Notamacropus eugenii: one gene and its partner. Each later gene encodes a partner of the first gene's protein in a complex. Links are inferred from orthologs where the notes say so. Each region holds a gene or a part of one and is shown on either strand. Other genes may lie near its edges. The genes, in order: HSP90AB1 and FKBP4.

The links.
Region 2: the proteins of HSP90AB1 (region 1) and FKBP4 are in contact, whole or in part, in a crystal structure (PDB 1QZ2), measured with the Homo sapiens proteins. The link is inferred for Notamacropus eugenii from reciprocal best matches to the Homo sapiens genes HSP90AB1 and FKBP4. Residues at the interface, in NP_001258898.1 of Homo sapiens: Met720, Glu721, Glu722, Asp724; in NP_002005.1 of Homo sapiens: Lys282, Asn324, Met327, Lys354, Arg358, Lys387.

What each region holds. Positions count from the first base shown.
Region 1 is NC_092873.1:107,730,588-107,742,483, reverse strand, and holds the start of HSP90AB1 (heat shock protein HSP 90-beta), read right to left. Parts: upstream 4,813-11,896; 5' UTR 4,112-4,812; intron 2,560-4,111; coding exon 2,413-2,559; intron 2,108-2,412; coding exon 1,901-2,107; intron 1,805-1,900; coding exon 1,645-1,804; intron 1,511-1,644; coding exon 1,377-1,510; intron 1,206-1,376; coding exon 900-1,205; intron 626-899; coding exon 460-625; intron 321-459; coding exon 130-320; intron 1-129. UniProt on the Homo sapiens protein: Molecular chaperone that promotes the maturation, structural maintenance and proper regulation of specific target proteins involved for instance in cell cycle control and signal transduction. Undergoes a functional cycle linked to its ATPase activity.
Region 2 is NC_092874.1:203,104,683-203,115,905, reverse strand, and holds the start of FKBP4 (peptidyl-prolyl cis-trans isomerase FKBP4), read left to right. Parts: upstream 1-6,494; 5' UTR 6,495-6,853; coding exon 6,854-6,958; intron 6,959-10,015; coding exon 10,016-10,160; intron 10,161-10,679; coding exon 10,680-10,822; intron 10,823-11,223. UniProt on the Homo sapiens protein: Immunophilin protein with PPIase and co-chaperone activities. Component of steroid receptors heterocomplexes through interaction with heat-shock protein 90 (HSP90).

The DNA of each region.
Region 1 (11,896 bases):
CTTTGGAAAGAAAAGACATCACATATACATGTTAGTATAGGCTCAGCTAAGACCAGTGTTCTGTCATACTTCAGACAAGTATTCCAAAACCTACAAAGGAAAGTTATCTAACAACCTAGAGGTGCTCACCTTCAGGTTTTTTGAGAAGGCCTCATAAAACTTTTTGTAATTCTCTTTGTCTTCTGCCAGTTCAGAGAAGAGCTCTAGACACTTCTTGACAATGTTCTTACGAATGACCTTCAAGATCTTACTCTGCTGCAGCATCTCTCTGGAAATGTTGAGAGGCAAATCTTCAGAGTCCACCACACCTCGAATAAAATCTAGGAGAAAAAGGATAAAAATAACCCATCACCATGTTAGAAAATAATCGGTTTTTGCTTACACATGTCTAAAATGTTAGAATCTTCACAAAGCAAATAGTAAGCCCATTAAACGAATATTGCAAATAGGAACACTTACTAAGATACTCAGGAATAAGCTCATCACAACTGTCCATGATGAATACACGCCGTACGTACAGCTTAATGTTGTTCTTCTTCTTTTTGTTTTCAAAGAGATCAAAAGGAGCCCGACGGGGGATGAAGAGCAGAGCTCTGAATTCCAGCTGACCTTCCACGGAGAAATGCTAAGGAGGCAAAGAACAATTTTTCTCACCCTTAGTTCAGAAAACTGCTGCCTAGAGTTCAACATTTCTCCAAGGAGAAAAACCCTGCAAGATGACACTTCACAGAGACCCAAGACATAGTGTCAAGTATGACTGCTGAAAGTTCTACTAATATTCCAATAGAAAATCGAAAACAGCTCTTTAATGCAGTCAAGTCCATTTTGCATTTCATCTTGTCTGCACCAAATGTTATTGCCTTTCCCCTCTTACACTTTGGCCCTCAAGATTTTCATACCTTTACTGCCAAGTGATCTTCCCAATCGTTGGTGAGGCTCTTATAAAACTCGCCATACTCTTCTTGGCTGATGTCATCAGGGTTCCGTGTCCAGATGGGCTTAGTCTTGTTCAGCTCTTCCTGATCAATGTATTTCTCCTTGATCTTCTTGGTTTTCTTCTTCTTGTCCTTGCCTTCGTCTTCTTCATCAGATCCCACATCTTCAATCTTGGGCTTCTCCTCATCTTTGGCTGGTTCTTCCTCCTCCTTCTCTTTGTCTTCCTCTGTCTCATCATCGCTGATCTCCTTCTCCCGTTCCTTCTCCAACTAAGGGCAGCCAAAAACAAACAGTTCAGTTTGAATTAGGTCTGCATAGACTTATAAGCAAAAGTAATCTCAATGATTAAATTAAAAATAGCAGTCATCCCCTACGACTAACATAACTCATGTTGAGAAAGAATAAGAAAGAATATACACAAAGTGGTAGTTTATACTCACATAAAGTGTGATGGGATAGCCAATGAATTGAGAGTGCTTCTTTACAACCTCCTTGACCCGCCTTTCTTCCAGATACTCTGTCTGGTCTTCTTTCAGGTGTAAGATCACCTTGGTGCCCCTGCCAATAGGCTCACCTGAAACAAGAACCAGTGTCACATTAGTTGGAATAAGAACAAGGCCAAAACAAGCCTCTTAAGTTTCTTAACCTACATGTTTCAATTCAAAGAAATTTTAACCCACGTGAAGACAAACTAAGCTACATACATACCATGGTCAGCACGGACTGTGAAAGAGCCACCAGCAGAAGATTCCCAGGCATACTGTTCATCATCATTGTGCTTGGTGATAACAACTACCTTCTCTGCCACCAAGTAAGCAGAATAGAAACCCACACCAAATTGACCAATCATGGATATGTCTGCTCCAGCCTACATGAAATAACAAGGAGATATTGGAGATACAGAGGAAAAAAAGGTTCACATCAAGGAACCCTAGTGACAAATACAAGTATGCAGATGTCATACCTGCAAAGCCTCCATGAAAGCTTTGGTGCCAGATTTGGCAATGGTTCCCAAGTTATTGATCAAATCAGCTTTTGTCATGCCAATGCCAGTGTCTACCAAAGTCAGAGTACGCTCCTGAGGATTTGGGATGATGTCAATCTTTAGCTCTTTACCACTGTCCAATTTGGAAGGATCTGTCAGACTCTCATAGCGGATCTTGTCCAGCGCCTAGGAGAAAGAATACAACTCTATTAGCTATCCCTTTATCTTCTCTATAATTCAGAGTTTTCTAGCTTTCCACCTCTTTCTAAACACCATGAGTGTCGACTACTTGTACTACTTGTACTGTGCTCTTCAATTAGAATGATATTCACAGACTTGCTTAACCAAGACAGCTTTCTTTCAACCTATGATGCAAAAATCTCATAACCCCCTCTGTGGGGAGGAGTGACAACAGAAAACCTGATTAAGACCACCACCCTCCTCCTATTCCCTCCCCAGGTTACCATATTATCATCAATAGTAACACTTACATCAGAGGCATTGGAAATAATCTCTCGAAGAAAGATTTCCTTATTAGAATAAAAGGTGTTGATAATCAAGGACATAAGCTGGGCAATCTCTGCCTGGAAGGCAAAGGTCTCCACCTCCTCCTCTCCATGCTGTACTTCCTCAGGCATCTTTAAACATAAAAGGGTACAGTTAATCTAGAGTCTAATATCTGACCTCCCCCACAAGAATTATCTGAGAAAAACCAGTGACTCCTACCCAGATGCCAGGTTCAGTTAACTCAACAATTAAGCAGTCAAAAAACAACCCAAACACCAGACTTGGTTGTTTTGAGTCAGTTCAAGGACCCAGAGATGAAAAGCAAATGCCCTGTAGACTTTGAAATATTGGAGAAACGCTTCTATACTCTCCAGAAATCACTGAAGTCCAGTAACTTTTGACATCTGGGGGTAGAAACGACCTTTAAAGATTTCATTATTGCTTTTTAACAGCCTAGAATGTCTACTGCTGATGTTTTGGGGAAAAAAGCCCCCAGCTGAGATTCCCCAGAAAGAGAAATCCAATGGAAGTCTCTCCAACTCGGTTTAAAAAGGCACGCTAATTAATTAATAGGCTTCCCCGCCATTAAACATCCTCAATTCACACTACAATGGAAGCCCTTCAGCACCACTCCACCAGAGGCACCCGCCAAGCAGTGAAGCCCGCATCAGCATCCCCGGAGCCTAGCGCAGCGCTCGGGGCGGGGCCTGCCTGCCTCGTGCCGAGTAACACTAGGTAACAAATGGACGGGCAGCGGCCCCCGCATGGGGGAGGGGGAGGCCCACCAGGATAACGGCCAGGTCTAGCGCAAGGGATGACAAAGGATGCGGACAAAGAGCCAGTGTCCGCGCCTGCAACCCCGCTGAGTGAAACACGGCACCGCGGGGAGGGAGGAGTTCCCGCCTGGGGCCGATCCTCTAGGTCGGGAGGAGGAGACACCCCACCGCCTAAGGGGCACGATGTCCCCGCCATCCCCGCTTGGGGGCTCCGGCGCCATCCCAGCATCCGGGCACCTGGGCGGGGCGCGCGGCTCCAGAAGCTTCCAGAAGAATCTGGGCCCCAACGCGAAGGGAGGGGGGAGGGAGTCCCGGGAATGTTCCAGAACCTGCTCCTCCCTTCTCGAACCACCTCCCCCGCGGCCCCGCGGGCCCCCCCCCCAACGCGCTACTGAAAAATGCGGCCATGATGGCCAGGGAAAGTGGAGCACGGAAAGATACCTAGAGGACCGAGACAGTGATGCAACCGAAAAGCAAAGATGAAACCTGGCGAAGGACTCGCCCCCCCACCCCGGTGCTGAGTCACCCCAGCCTGCTCCCCCACACGCGCGCCGAATGCCCCTCTCGCTCCCCGTAGCCGCCGGAAGTGGAGGTGCGAGCCCAACATGGCAGCGTCCCGTGGGGACCGGCGCGGCCACCACGTGCTAACCCTAACCCCCCGGGAACGCTGCTGCCGACCAACCGGCCCCCGCGCGGCTGTCACTCCCTGCCCGAACCCTCCCTGAGGCTAGGAAGAAGAAAAGAGGCTGGGGGAGGGGAATAGCCTTACTCAGAAAAACCGAAGTCTGAACGGTCGGCGGGGATGGGGGGGGGGCATTAAAACCTTTGTGGGTAATAATATGAGAAAAAAGGCAGAGTAGAAAAGGAAGATAAGAGGTATTAGACGGGAATGTAGCGAATACGTCACCTTGAGCGATGGCAGACAAGCAGGCCGGGTCAGAGAAGGGCTGAGTCCAGCGGCTACGCACACCTCGCACCGTGAGGAGCTTGGCACAAGAGAAGCTGCCGGCCGCCCCCACCCGCCCTATATATTGGCAGCGCACCGATAGCGTCGGAGCTTCCCAGGCGAATCCCTCCGCCTTAAAGGGGCCGCCTCACAGACCGCGCACCTGCAGCCTCCGAGGGCGCCGCCGGCCTTCTCCTGCAGCTTCTCCCGGCCCCCCCTCCTTCTTTCCACATTGTACGCACATACAGATTATAGAAACGAAACTACTGGAATAGGCAGGAACCTTCTTTAGGGATCACGTTTATTTTACACATGAGGTCACTGAGGCCCAAGGTCACCCCGTTCGTACGAGTTTTGTCTGGCGGTTCGTGGTTTCCCACCCGTGAACCTGCCAGCTCCCAGAAAGCTCCCCGAGCCGTCGGCCCTGACCCTCAGCCGAGGCTTAACAAAGGTTCACCGATGGACTCACTGACGTAACCGGTGAACGGTCAGGACGGGGGCAGGGGCGGGGGCAGCCTCTCCAGCCGCACGGGGACGGAGCCAGGGGCTGGGGCGGGGCTGGGGGTCGCGAGACCCTCGCCGCGATCTGCCTTGGGGAGAGATGCTGGGACCTTGCCTGCGACAAGCGGCCACCCTCCAAGCTAGTGTCACCCTCCCCCCCACCTCGAGGAGGAGGGCTAAGCCACGAGGTAGCCTCGCTCTCCTGCCCTCGGGACCTACGTGGGGGAGAGGACAAACCGGGGTCGCGCAGAACAGCCCGGGGGCTTTTTCTGAACCGGTTTTGAGCGGCTGGGAGGGGTACACGTGGAGTGGCAGGGAGGTCAGGGCAGAGCTATGTCTCTGAAGGGTGGGGGGGCTCCCCGCAAAAGAGGTGGCCCCCACAAGGTAGGAGGGCAGTAAAGCCCAAGCTGGTTCCCCATCCCCACCCCCCCGCTCCAGCCCACGGGCAGAATGGGCTGGGGGAAGGGCGAGCTCTCCGGGACTCTTTGCCAAGGAGCTCGGCGGCGGAAGCCGAGCCTTTCTGCAGTGCGGCGGCATTTCCAGCAGTTTCCACGCCTGTCTAGTCGCATTCCCCGCCCCCTCTCCTTCCCCCCCCACTCCCGCACGCCGCCCCCCCACCTCCTCCCCTCCCTCCTCCTCCTCCCTCCCCCCCCACTGGGCCTGAGCTCTTCGTGCAGCGAGCCAAGGCGCCAATGCGGGCCTGGACCGGCCGCGGACTCATCCCCCGCATCCCCCGCATCCCCCGCATCCCCCGCATCCCTCCTGCGGCGTCCCCACTGCGCTCCATTTTCTATACCCCAGCCCCGGTCAAGTGCTTTGCCCGGCGCTCGGTCACACAGTAGGCGCATAATACATGCTTGTACCTCCCCTCCCCCTCTTCTCCCATTCCCTTTCCTGTAACCTCAATATCCAGAGTCCCATCCAGTGCCCCTCCCACGACTGGCCATCCCCACTGGAGGAACATTAGAGCAAGCCCCTCCCCGCGCCCCCCACCCCGACCCAACAACCCCCTTCTCCTCCACTACCCCTGAGGCTCCCACAGAGGGAGGGGGCCGGGGGCAGCGGGCTGAGCCGGGAGGGCTAATGGAGGGGAAGCTGCCAAGGTCCTGGGCGCCCCAGGGGCCCGGGGAAGCAGGGCGCACGTTGGGCCCAGCCCGTGTGCGGTGAGGTGCGCGGTATCTGCAGAGTCACCGCACACACGCGCACACTGGCACCCGCCCGTGGGGTCCACCTCGGCGGGCAGGCTAGGGCCAGGATTAAGAGATTTTGGAGAACGATCTGAGAAACCCCAAGGACGTTCCCGGGCTGCTTCTCCTGTACTGCCCCTAGATGCACAAGTCTGTGTGCAGCGAGTTCCCCAGCTCCCGACAGACAGGTGGGGGGTGGGGCAGAATTCAAGGCGGGGTACGGGGCTCAAACCGAGTCGAGGCAGGGCGCATCTATTAGATGTGCCAGACGTGGTGCCAAGTGTGGGGGATGCAAAGAAAGGAGAAAAGCCAACCCCGATCTCTCCCCCAGGGAGCCAGCTGCCACTCTAACGGGTCAATGAACAGGTGTATCAAGGCAGGGTGACTTCAGCCGGGAAGGCTCTAGGAATGGGGGATCCACCAGCTAGGGGATTGTGCTGCTGAGGTTTTCATCCGAAGGAAACCCAGAAAGGTAAGAGTTAGGAGGAGAGCATTCCAGGAATGCCAGACAGGTCCAGGAGACGGAGTGCAGTGGTGGCATGGGTAGAGCACTGGGCTTGGAATGGTCGGAAAGGTTCATCAGGTCTGGCCTCAGACACTTCACTCTGTTTGCCTCAGTTTCCTCATCTGTCAAATGAGCTGGAGAAGAAAATGGCAAACCCCTCCAGCATCATTGCCAAGAAGACCCCAGATAGGGTCATGAAGAGTCAGATATGATGAAAGTGACTGGACAATAGCAATCTCCTGTGTGAGCAAGGAGGGCAGTGTGGCTGAATCATTGAATTTGTGGAGGGAAGTAAGGTGTAAGAAGACTGGGAAGGTAGAAAGTGGCCAGTTTATGAGGAGCTTTAAAAGTAAAAGTACTTTATATTTTATCCTGGAGGTAGTGAAGTCATAGAGATCCAGGGATTCTGGAGGCTTCCTGGAGGGAAGCCACTGGAGCATGGTCAAACCTGCACTTTAGAAACCTGACTTTGGCAGGTGGATGTGGGATGGATGGAGTGGGAGGAGAGGAGGCAGAGAGACCAGTTTAGAAGATTATAGCTTTAATAGTAATTATAATAATAATAGGATTACACAAGTATCTGAGCAAGGTTTGACCTCTCAGGTCTTCCAAAGACAGGCCTGATAACCATAGGTCAGTGGCTATGTGAGTGAAAAGAACAGGACATATATACAAGAAGTGTGAAGGTAAAAATGATAAGACTTGGCAATGGATTCATGGAGTAGATGTGTGAGATGAGGGAGATAGAGAGCCTGGGTGATTAGGAGGATGGTGGCATCTTCTACATTTGGAAGAGGAGAAGGTTTCAGGGTTGGAGGAATGGATAATGAGTTCCTTTGAACTCATTTTTGAACATTTTGAATTTCAGGTACTTATGAGACCTCCAATTCAAGATTTTCAAAAGATAGTTGTTGATATGAAGCTGGAGCTCAGGAGAGAAGCTAGGTCTGGATATATAGCTCTAGCAGCCATCTTTGTAGAGATGATTTTTGAAACTGTGAGAGAGAGACAGCAAAAAGTTAAGTTTCCACAGAGGTACTAGTTGATGAAGTGACTGGGAATAAGATAATAAGAAAGCTAGCAGACTACAGGTGGACTCAGCCAATCAGAAGACAGACGGTGGCCTTCAGAAAATTACAAAGTTCTTGATAAAAGGGGACCAAATCTAAAACTAGCTTAAACTAGTCAAGGGAAATGAAGTAGAATAACTGGGAGAAAACTTTTCTTCACTGCGCTTGCTTAATGAACCTCATGCATATAAGCAGACACACCCCACATAAAATTATCCCCCATTTTCTGGTCATGGGTCCTATGGTGAAGCATGTTTGGGAGGAGGAATCACACCAAGGATGGTTACATAATGGGCATGTAAAGGTGGTGACCTAATGGAGAATGGACCAATCCATCTCCTGATGGGAAGATCTGTCCTGAACTGACAGTATAAAAATGCTCTCACTTCTGTATCCAGCACCTCCTCCTCCTGAAAAGGGAATTGGAGTCTGCTTTGGCCAGGGCTTTCAATTCCTCTGAACTCTACTGCAATAGATTTTCCTTGATACCTTTTTAGTATCAAGCATGTTTCTAACAAATCCATGGGAGCTGATGAGAGAGAAGAGGCAGAGTCCCACAATTAGCGGACATTATATGGATGACAAACCAGCAGGAGATGCTGATGGATAATCAGGAAGGAAGAGAACCAGGAGACAGCAGGGTCACAAAAGCCCAGAAAAGATTGAATATCTAGGAAGTAAAAGTGATTAATGTCAAATGCTTCAAGGCAGTCAGGAGGGATGAGGAATGAGAAAGGATTATTATATTTGTCAACTAAGAGAAGAATAGTTTTACCTGAGTGATGGAGTCAGGAGCCTGATTGCCAAGGATTTAGACCAGAGTAAGAGGAGAGGGGATGAAAGCAGAAGCAATGAATGTAGATGGTTTGGATTTTGTTTTGGTTTTTCTTTTTCTTTTTCTTTTTTACAGTTATAAAGGGGAGATATAGATACAAGAGGATAGCTAGCAGGGATGATGGGATCAAGTAAAGATTTTCTAAGGATGGAGGAAACATGGTATTGTTTATGGGCAATAGGGAAGGAGGAGAAAGAGGAGAGGGGAAGAAAGAGGAAGAGAAAGAGAGAGAGGGAAAGCAAAAGAAAGGGAGAGAAATGAAGAGAAAAAAGAAGAAAGGGAGAGGAGAAATAGAAAAAAGAGAGGAGAGAGGACAAGATAGAAAATGAAAGAGGCGAGAGATGGTGACAGGGAGAGAGGAAGGAAGAGATAGAAAAAAGAAAAGGAAAGATAGGAAAAGAGAGATCGATGATAAGAAGGAGCGAGGATGGTGAGAGGAGGGGCAGCAGTCTGTTGGGAAAGACTAGAAGGGTAGACTCAAGGAGAAGGGTTACCTCTTCATTAGTGACTGGAGTGAAGGAGTTAGTAGAGCAAGATATTTTCAACGAGGCAAGATGAGGAGTTCACAGGAAATGGCCTGAATTTTTTTCAGTAAAGTATGAGTTGCAGTCCTCTGACCGTGAGGGAAGGACATAGGAGACGTGAGAAGGTTTGGAACACCTGTTGTAGACGCTGGGTTCCTGAATCTGTGCAGGGAGGAGTAGATTGATTGCTTTGTTGCAATTCGGAAAGGTTGAGCTTTGATAACCTATCTGTAGTGAAGGTCCAGTCAGCAAAGTTTAGTGATTTCCTCCAGCTTCACTTGGCTGCAAGTAAATAGAAGTAAAGAAGGCCAGTCATTGGGAGTAATGAATTGAGGAGGAATTTGGCAAGGTGGGATCATGGCTAGGACAAGGCAGTTGAGTGTAGAGTTAAGCTGGCTCACCAAGGGGTCAAGATAAAGAAGGGAAGAAAGTGTAGCCAGGACAAGGCAGCTAGCCTGGGACTGAACTGAGAAGTGAAGGAACTAGAGGTCCCTGTGAGAACAAAACAACATTAAGGGAGGTAAGGTACAGAGAAAGACAGAATGACAAGACATGATCAGAGAGATTTTTGGAATTTTGAACATGGAAATGGAACATTTTTTTCATTGATTAGAAGTAGACATGCCTTTAGGAAGAATAATGATGATGATGATGGTAAAGATAAACATTCATATAGCAATTTAAGATTTGCAAAGTGTTTGACATATTATCTCATTTGGTTCTCCTGACATCTGTGAGAGGGAGGTGATATTATCTCCATTTTACAAATGGGGAAACTGAGGCTGTTTGGGATTTTTTTTTTTTTTGGGGGGGGGGTAGTAGTGTGGTGTTTTGGTTTTTTCCCATTGTTACATGAATGAGCAGAATTTGACCTCAGGTCTTTCCAACTCCAAGTCAGGGCCATCATTCACCATGTCCCCTAATTGCCCTACCATAGTTTCAAATTCAAGTTATTCCTATGAGAGGCTCAAGGCTGAAGAGAGAATGATTTCATAGGCCTCTCCTCTCCAGAGTATTTCAATGGCACTTTGATGGCTAAGTAATCTCACCAAATTGGGCATACCCCACTGCACTGGTAAAGATCATAACAAATCAGATGTTCCCAGATAGTTGATTCAGTGGACAGAGCACTGGACCTGGAGTCTGGAAGACAATGAGTTCAGATTTGGCCTTTGACTCCTCCTAGTCAGGCAAGTCACTTCACTTCTGTCTACCTCAGTTTTCTTGTAAGACAGGGAGAATAACAGCCCCTACCTCCGAAGGCTGTTACGAGGACCGAATGAGGTAACATTTGTAAAGTGCTTTGCAAAATGTAAAGGACTACATAAAAGCTAGCTGTTATTATCATAAAGCAATACGTAGCCCTGTATAACCCTGCACAGGTCTCCGTATGGAGCTGAGTGCCTTCCCCTAGAGCAGTAGCTCTCAAAGTATGGTTGCAGGGACCCTCAGGAGTCTTCAAAAAGTTTTTAGGGCTCTTTGGGGTCAAAAATATTTTCAAAATTTTACTGAGACATTTAAATTTCAAATATGGTAATTATTGATAGGTAATCCACTCTTGGGGTTCTTTAGGGGATCCTCAGCAATTTTTTTGATGTTACTTTTTTAAAATTAATTTATTTGTTTAGGATTTTCAACAATCCCTTCCCTATGTTTTAAATTTTCTCCCCCTCCCTCCCCAAGATGGTGTGCAATCTTATTGGATTCTGCACATACATTCTTATTAAACACATTTTCACATTAGCCACATTGCATAGGGTCCTCAGCCATTTTTAAGAGTGTAAAGGGGTCCTCAGACCAAAAAGTTTGAAAAGAGCTGACATTACTTGAGGATGAGTTGGGGCTTTCATAATCTGATCAGGAAGAGGTCAGAAAGGTCATTTGCTTAGCTCAAAGACTTCAGACTAAGCAAACATAATAACAATAACCTGTTCAATCCTTTAAAGTTTACAGTGTACTTTATATTACCTCACTTTGTTTTTTAAGCTTAATTCATATTTTTTTTTAAATAACACATTGATTTCCATATATGTCCTTGCCCTCATTTCCTGCCCAGAGAATTTTCTGGTGATGTAGTTTTGTTTTTTTTAAATATTCAGCAAAACCAGTCAACAGACCTTGAACAGCAAATGAAACACCTCACATACATAAATTCACCACCTCAGCAAAAGGGAGATACATTTTTCTCTTCTCTGGGGTCAATCATGGTCATTATAATTTTCCAGTGTTTAGTTTTTATTGTCAATTCCATTTACATTGCTGCAATTATTGGGAAAATCATTTTCCTGGTTCTGCCTACTTTGCTTTGTATTATGTGTTCATATATGGCTTCCTGTGCTTCTCTGAATTCCTCATTTTTGTCATTTGCTATGGAGCAATAATATTCTATTATTATTGTATAAGACATAGTACCAGATGCTGTTATACAAGCAAAAAACAATCCCTACCCTGTAGTAGCTGATAATCTATTGGAGGGTGAAGGGGAAGGGGTATGATGAGGAGAATCATGATAACGTATTCTGCCTACAAGGTATTCTGTATATTAAGAGCGATCTTCCTTGCTGTTCCTTCCTTCCTTTCTCCTTCCCTCCTTACCTTCTTTCCTTCCTCATTCTTTCTTCTCCCTTTCCTTTCTCCCTCCCTCCCCTCTTACTTCCCCCTTCTCTTTCTTCCTTCCTTCCCTCCCTCCTTCCTTTTTTTTCTCCTTAAACAACATGGGTGGCTCCCCATTCCCAAGGGCATATCATATTTATGCCTGATTGACTTAGCCAAGTGCAGCTTAGAACTTCTGAGCTGACAATTACAAATATGGAATGCCACAACCAGCTTCTTATTTATTTTTTAATGGTTCTACCAGAATTAATATCAACAGTTATACTGTAATATAGGAATGACTGAAGGGTCAGTAATTTCATCTGCTGGAGAGCCTGGTATAGGTACTCCCTGCACCATAGATGGCAATCCTTGTCTGGGACTTACCCGAGCTCACCCCCACTCTTCTAAATCTTAGGGAGTTGTCTGAAGCATAGGGAAGTACCCAGGGTAACTGAGCTAGGGGGCAGAGGTTAGATTTGAATTCAGGTCTTCCTGACTCCAGGGCCTGGATGATAGTAACCACTACTTA
Region 2 (11,223 bases), on another chromosome or scaffold:
CTTCTACCTGCCTCAGGAGCTGGCCAGACTTGAATTCTTCCTCCCCAGACTTTCTCCTTAGTGTTATCAGATTTCTCCTCTCCCTGATGGTATCAACCCCAGAGCAGTAGCATCAAATTCTCTTGGCCTCTGCAGCACTGGTCTCTGACTTCTCCATCCCACTCTGCTGACAGACTTGCCTCCCTTCCAAATTCAAGACCTCCAATTTTTTTGTGCCACTTACTCCTGGATCTCTTTTCCCTCTATTTGCTCCCCTCTGTTGAGTATCTCCAATTTCTCCTATATATATATATATATATATATATATATATATATATATAAAATCCTGTTTGAACACAATTATTTGCATGCTGTCTCTCCCCCTCAACTATGAAATCTATGAGAGTAGGAGTTGCTTTTTTTGCCTTTCTTTGTATCCCTAGAGTTTAGCAAAGTGTCAGGTCCATAATAGGGCCTTAGCAATTCTTTCTGAGTGACTCTGTACAGTATAGCTTGCTTGTGGAATTATATGATATGAAATACAGAGTCTGTCAGATTAAAGGAATTCTCCAGATACAGGATGGGAGGAAAAATAAATAGAAAGTTAGTAAGTATCGGAGACCAGATTGGAACTCGGTTCTACCTGACTTCCAATCCAGCTGGCACTTTATCCACTGTACTTTTTTGACAATAACAAACTTAAAAAAAAAAAAAGCTATCTTCAAAGACACAAAGGTTTATTATAAAAACTGAGTGGGAATCAGGATATTTTCCCTAAGGATAAGACAAAAAGAAACTGGCTTATCTGTAACAAGAGAGATTAAAATCTGATAAAAAAAGGAAGACATGGAAAATGTGAGTCGCAGAAATATGGGGAGAGGGTGCAGAATCTTCTTTTTATAATAGTCATGTTATCAAATAACCAATCAAGCAAGCATTTATTAGATGTACCAGAGGCTGTGCTAGTCACTGGGGACACAAAGGTAAATAGGAAATAATTCCTGCTTACATTCTAAAGGGAGACAACACACAGGCAGATACAAAGTATGTGTAAACACATTTAAGATAATCCACTGCAAGTATTGTCTGACCTTATTCTCCAAGAGTTATGTCTGCTGCATCTCCCTACTACATTCAAAGAGTACTACTGATCCCCCATTCCAGTGTGTCCTCCCTATTATTAGTCACCAGTAACTAGTGTCTCAATTCTATTTATTGCTATTTTATCCTTGGTTTTCAAATGAGGAAACAGTCTGAGAAGTTAAGTGACTTGCCTAGAGTCACACAATGAGGAATTCAGGATTCAAATTCAGGTCTTCCAAGTCCAACACACTCAATCCATTGTACCACCCAGCTGTTCTATATACTGAAGTGCTAAATTGGGTAGAAAAGACTCTACATGAACAACAGAACAGATACCAGAAAGAATGAAAGGCTCTGTTATTATGAAATTGGTTATTACAAAATTAGAACAAAGCACTTCTCTTTCTAGCCTTTCCTGTCAGCAACTGTATAAATTATTGAATAAAGGTGAAAAGGTCTTCTGTTTACTAACTGTGTGGTTTTGGACAAGTCACCTTAACCCCTCTAAATTATCTTTTCATTATTTGTAAAATGGTGTTAATAAAATTTGCATGATTCTTGACCTTCCTGCCATCTTGAGGATGGTTGTCTTGAATATAAGGCCCCATGGCCCATGAGAAAGAGAGGATCCATGGTTTAGGTGTGTCTCAAAGGTACTTAAAGCTACGTGAGGTTAATGGTAGCCTTAACCCTAAGGTATATTCTAACACTAGTCATCAGTCATTTCAGTGCCAGTTTATGCTCAAGAAAAACCATTCACATAAAGGCGTCATTTCTAAAATATATAGAGAACTGAGTCAAATTTATAAGAATACAAGTCACTCCCCAATTAATAAATTGTCAAAGGATATAAACAGACAGTTTTCAGATGAAGAAATTAAAGCTATATACGATCATGAAAAAACTCTCTAAATCACTCTTGATTAGAGAAATGCAAATCAAAGCAATTCTGAGGTACCACATCACACCTATCAGATGGACTAACATGACAAAACAGGAAAATGATAAATGCTGGAGAAGATGTGGAAAAATTGGAACACTAATGTATTGGTGAAGTTGTAAACTCATTCAAACATTCTGGAGAACAGGTTGGAACTATGGCCAAAAAACTATAAAACTGTGCATACCTTTTGATCCAGCAATATCACTTCTAGGTCTGTATCCCAAAGAGATCATAAAAACGAGGAAAAGACTGACATGCACAAAAATATTTATAGAAGATCTTTTTGTGGTGGCCAAGAATTGGAAACTGAGGGAATGCCCATCAACTGAGGAATGGTTGAACAAGTTGTGGTATATGAATGTAATGGGATACTATTGTGCTATAAGAAATGATAAGCAGGCAGACTTTGGAAAAACATGGAAAGACTTCTATGAAGTGATGCTGAGTGAGGGGAGCAGAGCCCGGAGGACACTCTACATAGTAAACAGCCACACTGTGTGATGACTAACTTTGATAGACTTGGCTCTTCTCAGCAATGCAAGGATCTAAAACAACTCCAAAAGACTCACGATGGAAAAAGCCATCAACAGCCAGAGAAAGACCTCTGGAGTCTGAATGCAGATCAAAGCAGACTATCTGCTCTCTTTACTTGTTATTGTGGCTTTGTTTTTCGTTTTGCTTCTTATTATTTGCTCTTTTTTTGCTGTTGTTTCTTCTTTCTCATGGTTCTTCCCATTGGTTCCCATTGGGTCTTCTTTACAGCAAGACTAATGTGAAAATGTTTGATATGAATGTATATGTAGAGCCTATGTCAAATTGTATGCCATCTTGGGAAGCGGGGAGGGGAAGGAGGAAGGGTGAGAAAATGTAAAGCTCAAAAGCTTATGGAAGTGAATGTTAAAAACTAAAAATAAATAAATTTAAGAAAAGAAGAAAAATCATCACCAAACCTAGCAAAGCTTGTGACTAATTCATAATGACAATAATAGCTAATATGTATAGCACCTACCATGTGCCAGGCACTTTATAAATATTATATTGTTTGATCCTCCTGGGACAACAACCCTGGAATTGCTATTATATCCTCATTTTTACAGATGAGGAAACTGAGGTAAAAGTTAAGTGACTTGTCCAAGGTCTTACAGTTAGGAAGAATCTGAGGCTGGATTTGAACTCAGATCTTCCTGATTCCAGGCCCAGTAATTTGTCCACTGCACTACCTAGCTGCCCCAATGAACTTTTTCAGATCATTTTCTTTTTACATTTTTTTCAAATTCAAAAACTTAAAGATCCAGCAGGGGTGGGGAACCTATGGCTTCCAGGTCTTTACAATTTTACAAAACAAATCTTTTTTTAAGGGAATTTGTTCTGTGAAGTTTGGATTAAGTCAAAGGGCCACACTCGAGGACCTAGAGGGTCACATGTGGTCTCTGAGCCACACGTTCCCCACCCCTGCTTCAGGAGGTATGATCTAAATACACGAACTCTGAAACATTATTATTAGTTATAAATGCCTTTTCTCCCTCATCAGCTCTGCTCCCAACCAGCCTGACTTGAGTTCTACCTTCTTGTCAATCCCACTGCAAGCATTCATGGTCAGACCACCTTAGATAAGAGACAAACAGAGACAGAGATACAGACAGACAGGAGACAGAAAGGAGAGAGAGACAAAGAAAATGTGTTTTCAAATAAAAGCTTCAAACAGCACAGAAACAAGAACAAGCATCAAAAAAAAAACCTTCCAATGCATGCTGCTTTGCTTGTTATGGAGAAGGGACAAAAGGCTTTCTTCCCTCCTTCTACCAAGTCTGAGGGAAACAGGAAGTAAATGGTTCAACAGGTAAAAAGGAATTGCCTTTTGTTGCTCCATGAATGGAAGAGAAAAGATGTCGTGGGCCAAGTTTGTGTGCCTGCCTCAGGGCGTGCTAGTTCAAGGTGTACCTAAAATGTACCCTTTCTCATTGGTACCCATTCTTCAAGGTCAAGGCCTAGGCCAGAAGACTCTGGGGTGCTCTGGATAATGCCTGTCTGCCTGCCTTAGGGCATACCCTTCCAACCCACCAAATCTACATGGTAATGACTGAGCAAAGGAAGCTATGTGGCTGGAAACAAAAGCTAAAGTACTAAATTCACTAGAAATATTTTGAGGCTTCATGAAAGACTATATTTCAAAACTTTTTAACATCTTAATGACATGGATGAGGAAAATTAAACCACTGTATTATTACTGAACAGGGGAGACGTTTTGCTCTAGTGGATGAATATGAATTTATGGACTTTAAATGTTCTGCGTTAAATAATAGCCGTAGCTGGATAAGCCTTGGGAGTCTTAGCTAAGGGATACAGTCTTACCTTGGGTTCAAATGTATCCACATCAGGTCTGTCTATTTGGCCATCCCCTTATCCACAGACTACATTTGCAATGGCACATAAATGGAGATGAAACCCGTGAACAGTAAGTAAGTTAATTTGACTGGATTGTAGGGTGTGAAGTAGTTGAAGGTAGGCTGAAGCCAGACTAGGGGTTCTGTAAGACTTGGACCCACCTAAGGACCTAAAAGGCCACATGTGCCTTCAGAGCTATAGGTTCCCCGCCCCTGAGTCAAACTATGCAGTCTGTTCAATGAATGACTCCAGAGAATCTTGTTTTGCACCTCCTAACGTGCTCATCCCTGAATATATGTTTACATATCATCTCCCTACTGCAGATGAAAAGCTCCATGAGGGCAATAATGATGTTATTATTTTAATTAATAAGCAATAAATTTATCCATATGTTCATATTTCACTTTTTTCTTTCTCCAGACTTTAGTATGGTATTCTTGTAATTTTTTTTGAGTGGGGTGTAGGTGAACGTATGGTTTCATTGGCAGAAAGAACTCCCTTAGAATTGGTTATATAAAGTCTCCATTTTCTGAGGTCATTTGCCCAGAAATCATACAGGACTCGAACCCAGCCCTTCCTGACTCCAAAGATAACCTCTGTATATTAGCAACAATGTGTTTGTTGACATCAATGTTATTTTAGGTTTATTCTATAATATAGTGCACATCCTGCGTGGTCACTAAACGTTTGTGAACTATAAAACAAAAAATCCTTCCCCCTTCACTTCCCAGAATGGATGTTCGGTGTGTTTGAAACGTTTCTGCTTTTGGCGGCGGGGCTCGCCTTAGGCCGGGAAGGCAGACCCTTATTGTTGTACGAGATCCGCTGCTGGGACCCACGGAGGAGCAGGGAGGTCCGAAAGGACCGGGCGAGCTCTGCGCCAGGTGCTTCTGGAGGACTGGTCTGGAGGGGGCTGGGGAAACGGGGTTCATTCTTTCCTTTCCCGAAAAGTATGTACCTGGGCAGGTCAGCAGAGACAGAGAGACAGAGACAGACAGGCAGGCAGAGAGAGACAGAGAGAGACAGAGAGAGACAGAGAGAGAGACAGAGAGAGAGAGAGACAGAGAGAGAGAGAGAGAGACAGAGAGACAGAGAGACAGAGACAGACAGACAGAGACACAGAGACAGAGAGACAGAAAGACAGAGAGAGAGAGAGAGAGACAGACAGAGAGACAGAGAGGCAGAGAGGCAGAGAGAGAAAGAAAGAGAGACAGAGACAGAAAGAGAGACAGGCAGGCAGAGAGAGAGACACAGAGAGAGAGAGAGAGAGAGAGAGAGAGAGAGAGAGAGAGAGAGAGAGAGAATGAGAGAGAGACAGAGAGACAGAGACAGAAAGAAAGAGACAGAGACAGAAAGAAAGACAGAGACAGAGAGACAGAGAGACAGACATAGAGACAGAGAGAGAGACAGAGACAGACAGTGAGAGAGACAGACAGAGACACAGACACAGAGACAGAAAGACAGAGAGAGAGAGAGAGAGAGACAGACAGAGAGACAGAAAGAAAGGAAGAAAGAAAGAGAGAGGGAGAGGGAGAGGGAGAGGGAGAGGGAGAGGGACACAGGGAGACAGGGAGAGAGGGAGACAGGGAGAGCAGCCCGCCGCCCAGGTGCAGCTTTCCGAGCACCACCACCACCGCCCGAGCCCGCGAAGGCTGAGAGCGGCCAGGGGGCCCAGGGCCGCCCCCGGGCGCCCGCTCCCCGGCCTCTCTCGCCACGTGCCGGGAGCCGGCCTCTCCGCACAGCACAAACCGAACTGGGGCAAGGACGGGTTTTGAATGAGCTGGGGAAGGCTCCAGCCTGATCGAGAAGGATCTGGAAGAGTCCGTTTAAGCCCGGAGGAGGGAGCGCGGGAGGGGAGGGGGATGGGTGGCAGGGCGTCCGGAGAGAAGGCGTTGTTGGGTCGAGTCCAGAGAACCGAGGGTGTCGGTGGGGGTTCCCCCCTTCCCCGGCTCAGGTTGGGGGAGGGTCGGAATATCTGAATGCCCTCTGCGTGGGCGCAGGGGCCAAACCGGCGGGGCGGACGCCGCCTCTGGAAACTTCTCCTCCTCGGCCGCCCTCCCTTTCCCCTCCCCTGGCTCCTCCCAGCCCCGCCCCCGGCGGCGGCGGGTGCGGGGTGGGACCAACCTCTCCCCAGCAGCCACACGGTCCGCACTCGTAGTTGCCTGGTCCGTGCGCTCCGCTCCGCTCCGCTCCGCGCCGCACCGCACCGCACCGCACCGCGCCGCCGCTCCGCGCCGCCCCGGGCCTGGCCCCCGCAGTCGGCTCGCCGCCTCCCCGTCTTCCTCGGGAAAAGGGAGTTTCCAGAAGGAGCAAGTGAGCCGCGCGCTGCCCGGCCCCGGCCCGGCCGCGCCGCAGCCCCACTCCCACCGTGCTCGCAGCCACCCGGCCCAGGCAGACGGGGAGCGGCTTGGCTCGGCTCCCGGGCCCCAGCTTCACGACTGAAAGGAGGCTCTGTGGACGGCGATGACCGCGGAGGAGATGAAGGCGGCGGAGAGCACCGCGCAGTCGGCCCCATTGCCTTTGGAGGGGGTGGACATTACCCCCAAACGTGATGGAGGCGTGCTGAAGGTACCCGCGCGTGGCCCGCGGGGCAGGAGGCAGCCTTAGGTCGGGTCTGGGCGGGGGAAGCAGACGGGCCTGCCGCACATGCTCAGGCCTCCACGCGGGGCACGGGCTTCAGCCCACGCGGGCATTCCCCGGGCCCCGGGGGCGGGCTGCCAATGCCACCTCGCGGCGGCCGTGCCCCCCCCGGACCTGGCACAGCAGAAGCCCGCATTCCCCTCCGTCTCACGGACGGGGAAGATCTGGGGGAGGAAGGCGGGTGGGAGCCCCCAGCCGGGGTGGGAGCGCAGGCAGGACCCGAACCCATGCCGCCCGCCGCCGCTGGGCCGGCCCGGCCCCCCAGCGTGGATCCGGGGGAGAGGAGGTGGGGCCGCGATGGCCCGAGAGCCCCGGAGTGCCCGCGGGCTGCAGGCTAGCCGGGGTCGAGCCTTGAGCTCCCCTGAACCCCCTTTCCACCGAAGATGTTTCTGGAGCTTAGGAGCCGGTAGCCCGCGCTGGTGGATAAGGTGGCCGGAGCCGGCCAGGTCAGTTAAACGTTAGCCGGGCTGTCGGGGCCCTGCGGGACCGCCGTTACCCGGTCCTGGGGCCTCTCGGGACTCAGGCGGACCCAAGGGGAGCGGAGGGTGTGCGCTGCACGGCCCTCCGCCCTGGCACCCGGGTCCTGCCGCTGACCCCTCCCTCTGCGGTGTAGCCAGGATCAGGTTACCCTCCTGCCCTCTGTCACCACCCCCACCCCCGCCGAGGGAAGGGCAGGACGTGAGGTTCGGCTGCAGTTACTGAATAAAGTGGAAGAACTGATAGCCAAGCGAGGCCATTGTGCGGGCCTGAGCATCTTGACCTGGGTCGGAGCAGCCCAGGGGTGATTGGAACAGGCTTTAGAGAGGGTTGGCAGGCATCCAGCATGGCATGAAATTCAATCTTCAGGTTCCCGCTCCTCCCCCCGGGCTCCCCTCTTACCGTGTATCACCGGTCACCTAACCTTTGGAGCTGGGGACCTGACCTGAATTCTAGGATTTAGAGGTTCATGAACTGAATTTTGTCCTCTCTTTCTGGGAGGCAAATGCTCCCTTCCTCCCCCCCCCCACCACATACACACACTGAGAGAGGGACCCTCTTTCTTTCCTAAAAGGCCTTTTTTAAGAAAGGATTATTACTCCTTGCTTCCCCTTCCCTGCTTCTCTCTTCCCTAAGTCCCCTATCCAAAGAAGCTAAGATTAATTCTGTTGAGGTCTGATTCTTCTTCAGGGTAGGGGAGAAACTCCCTGGAGAGAACAATTAGGTATTTGCCTGGTGGCCCACAAGGAAATCTATCTTTTTAGAAGTTCTGGAAAGGAAATAGCAGTGTCCTGAGTCCATGGAAATGGCCCAGAACCATGGCATTGTGGAGATTTGCCGATTCTACCGCGTGGAGGTCACTCCACTCAGGTTATTTAATCTTGTCTGGGTTTTGAGGGTCTACCTCTTCACAAACAGATTGGCTCATCTTCCCTTCCAGTGTCCCAGAAATGCCCATACCTCGAAAACTTTTCCCTTTCTGTGTATGAAGGTAGGTAGAGGGAGATAGGATTCTTGAAATGAGCCCAGAAAGTTACCAGTTTATAGTTAGTTGTGGTGAGATTCCCAAAGGTACAGTGGCAAAATCTTAAGACTTCTAAACAGTCATTCAAAATTCAGAACAGAAAGACAGACTGGAACAGAAAGGCCCTAGAAAAGTCCAAGGTCATTTGTTCCAAGGCCAAGGTTATGTATGAATTGTGTTTACACCTACATCTCCATTTTATTGATAATTCATCTGCTTCCCCTCTCTTGGCACAATCCAGGCTTTTGGTTTGTTTGGTTTTTTTCCCATTCTGCTTTCTCTAGATCCTTGTCATTTTCACCTTAGGTTTATCTCTCTCAGTTCTGATTCCTTATTCCCTTTTCCTTCCTTCCAAATCAGTCCCTGTTTTCTTGTTGGCCAGACAAGTTCATAAGAGGCAGTGTGATGTAGTGGATAGAATGCTGACCTCAAAGGCAGGAAGACTTGGGATTCTTACCAAATGGGTAAGAGAACACTGGTCCTGGGGTCAAGAAGAGACCCGAGTTCAAATGCAACCTCAGATACTTATTGTCTTAGTATGAACCTGGGCAAGGCATTTAACCTCAGCCTCAGTTTCATCATAAAAATGGGGATAATCAAACACCATTCATTAAGCACCTACTCTGTGCCAGGCACTGGAAATACAAAAAAAGGTAAAAGACAGTCCCTGCCCTCTATACAGTCCAGCAGGGGAGACAACATGTAAACAAATATATACCACAGAAACTATATACAGGATAAGTAGGAAATAATGAACAGAGGGAAGGCACAGGAATTAAGAGGGGTTGAGGAAGGCTTCCTGTAGAAGGTGAGGTTTTAGTTGGGACTTCAAGGAAGCCAGGGAGGTCAGTGGTTAGAGCAGAAGAGGGAGGGTGTTCCAGTCTTGGAGGATGGCCCAGGGAAAATGCCAGAGGCAGAGAGATGGATGGAGTGTCTGATTTGTGGGACCACCAGAAGAGCTGTGTCACTGGATCAAAGAGTACCTGTCAGGGAGTAAGATACAAATGACTGCACTTCCAGGGTTACTGTGAGGAACAAATGAGAACACTGGTAAAGCACTTTGCAAACTTTAAAGTGGTATATAAAGACTGGTTGTTAATGTTATTGTTGTTGCTGTAATGTTTTTGCTGTCATTAATGCTGGAAGCAGCCTCAAAGATCATTGAGTTCAGATTCTTCATTTTATAGATGAGGAAACTGAAGCCCTAGTAGATGATAGAATTTATCCAAAACCAGACAAATAATAAGTAGGAGAGCTGAAATTTTAACCCAATCTTTTGGCTCAGGTTCCAGTCTTTGAATTATATTGTATCAGGGAAGAGGAGATCTTCCTGTGCATACACCTTCCCCTGTGAGGAGGAAGAGGTTAATTTGGGGACTGATAATAGATCCTAGCTGAGGGTCTTCTCCCCACAAGGGGTGTGACTCATAGCCTCTGATGGGAGGGACTGGTGATGAAGATGTGAATGTACTTTTCACTCGTAGGTGATCAAGCGAGAAGGGACAGGCACTGAGACTCCCATGATCGGCGACAAGGTTAGCGTACACTATACTGGCTGGCTGCTGGACGGTACCAAATTTGACTCCAGCTTGGATCGAAAGGACAAGTTCTCCTTTGACTTAGGCAAAGGTAAACTTGATGGCTAAGGAGTGTCCTGAGTTGTGGTGAGCCAGCTAGTGGTAACACTCCAGTGGTCCTCCTAGGTCCAGGCCTAGCTAGACACAGGGCAGCATTACTTGTTGCAGACTCAAGGATCTTTTTGTCCTTCTTATGTTTCCCTTTTCTTATTGTCACCTCCATTTTCTTCACTGAATTCTTCCCTCCATTTCTCCGCATCTGTGATGATTTCTATCTTAATCTTCTGGACTTTGGAGGCAGTAGAACATAGTTCTTCTCTGGCTATCTTCTTGGACAATTGGGTTAAGGGTTAAATATAAGGATTAAAAAGCAACAGTTTTTGCCCCATTTGGACTTTGGGGAGTTTATAACAGTTAGTGGGGGATGGGACTTCCTACTTACTTGGTCTCATCCAAAAGAGGGGGGGGTCAGTTTTGGCTTGTTGGGTACCTCTTAGGACAGCCTGTTGGCCTTTGACAAAACCTCAGATAAGGTGCTGGGGGGGGAACCTAATGTATTTTGTGTCTGCAGGGGAGGTAATCAAAGCCTGGGACATAGCCGTGGCCACCATGAAAATTGGAGAAGTCTGCCGCATCACCTGCAAACCAGAATATGCCTATGGCTCATCTGGCAGCCCTCCCATGATCCCCCCCAATACTACCCTGGTGTTTGAGGTGAGTGATAGGCCATGAAATAGAAAGAGTAATATCCAAAACAGAAAGAATAAGAGCCAGGCTTTATCTCCTCCTCACTGTCTGGCTGTCCTCCAGCCCGTTTGACTTGGAAACATTGTGGCTAAGGCTAAGGGCCTGGCCTAGTGGGAGGACATAAGGTGAAGCTGCCTCTTCCAAGATGGGTAGGAATTATAGCTGGGCTACTGCCGTTACCAGCCTGGGCATTCTCCTGCTTATCTCAGGAAGTGATGAGAGCGTTCAGCACATGAGTTTCTTTGTCCTTTGCCTGCCTGCTCCAAATCAGCATGCTTACTTGAGAACATCCTACCCCAAGCATGCAGCAATGTGGAGAAAGAAAAGGTCATTCCTACCCTCCCTGCTGACCACCTGGCCAGTGACTT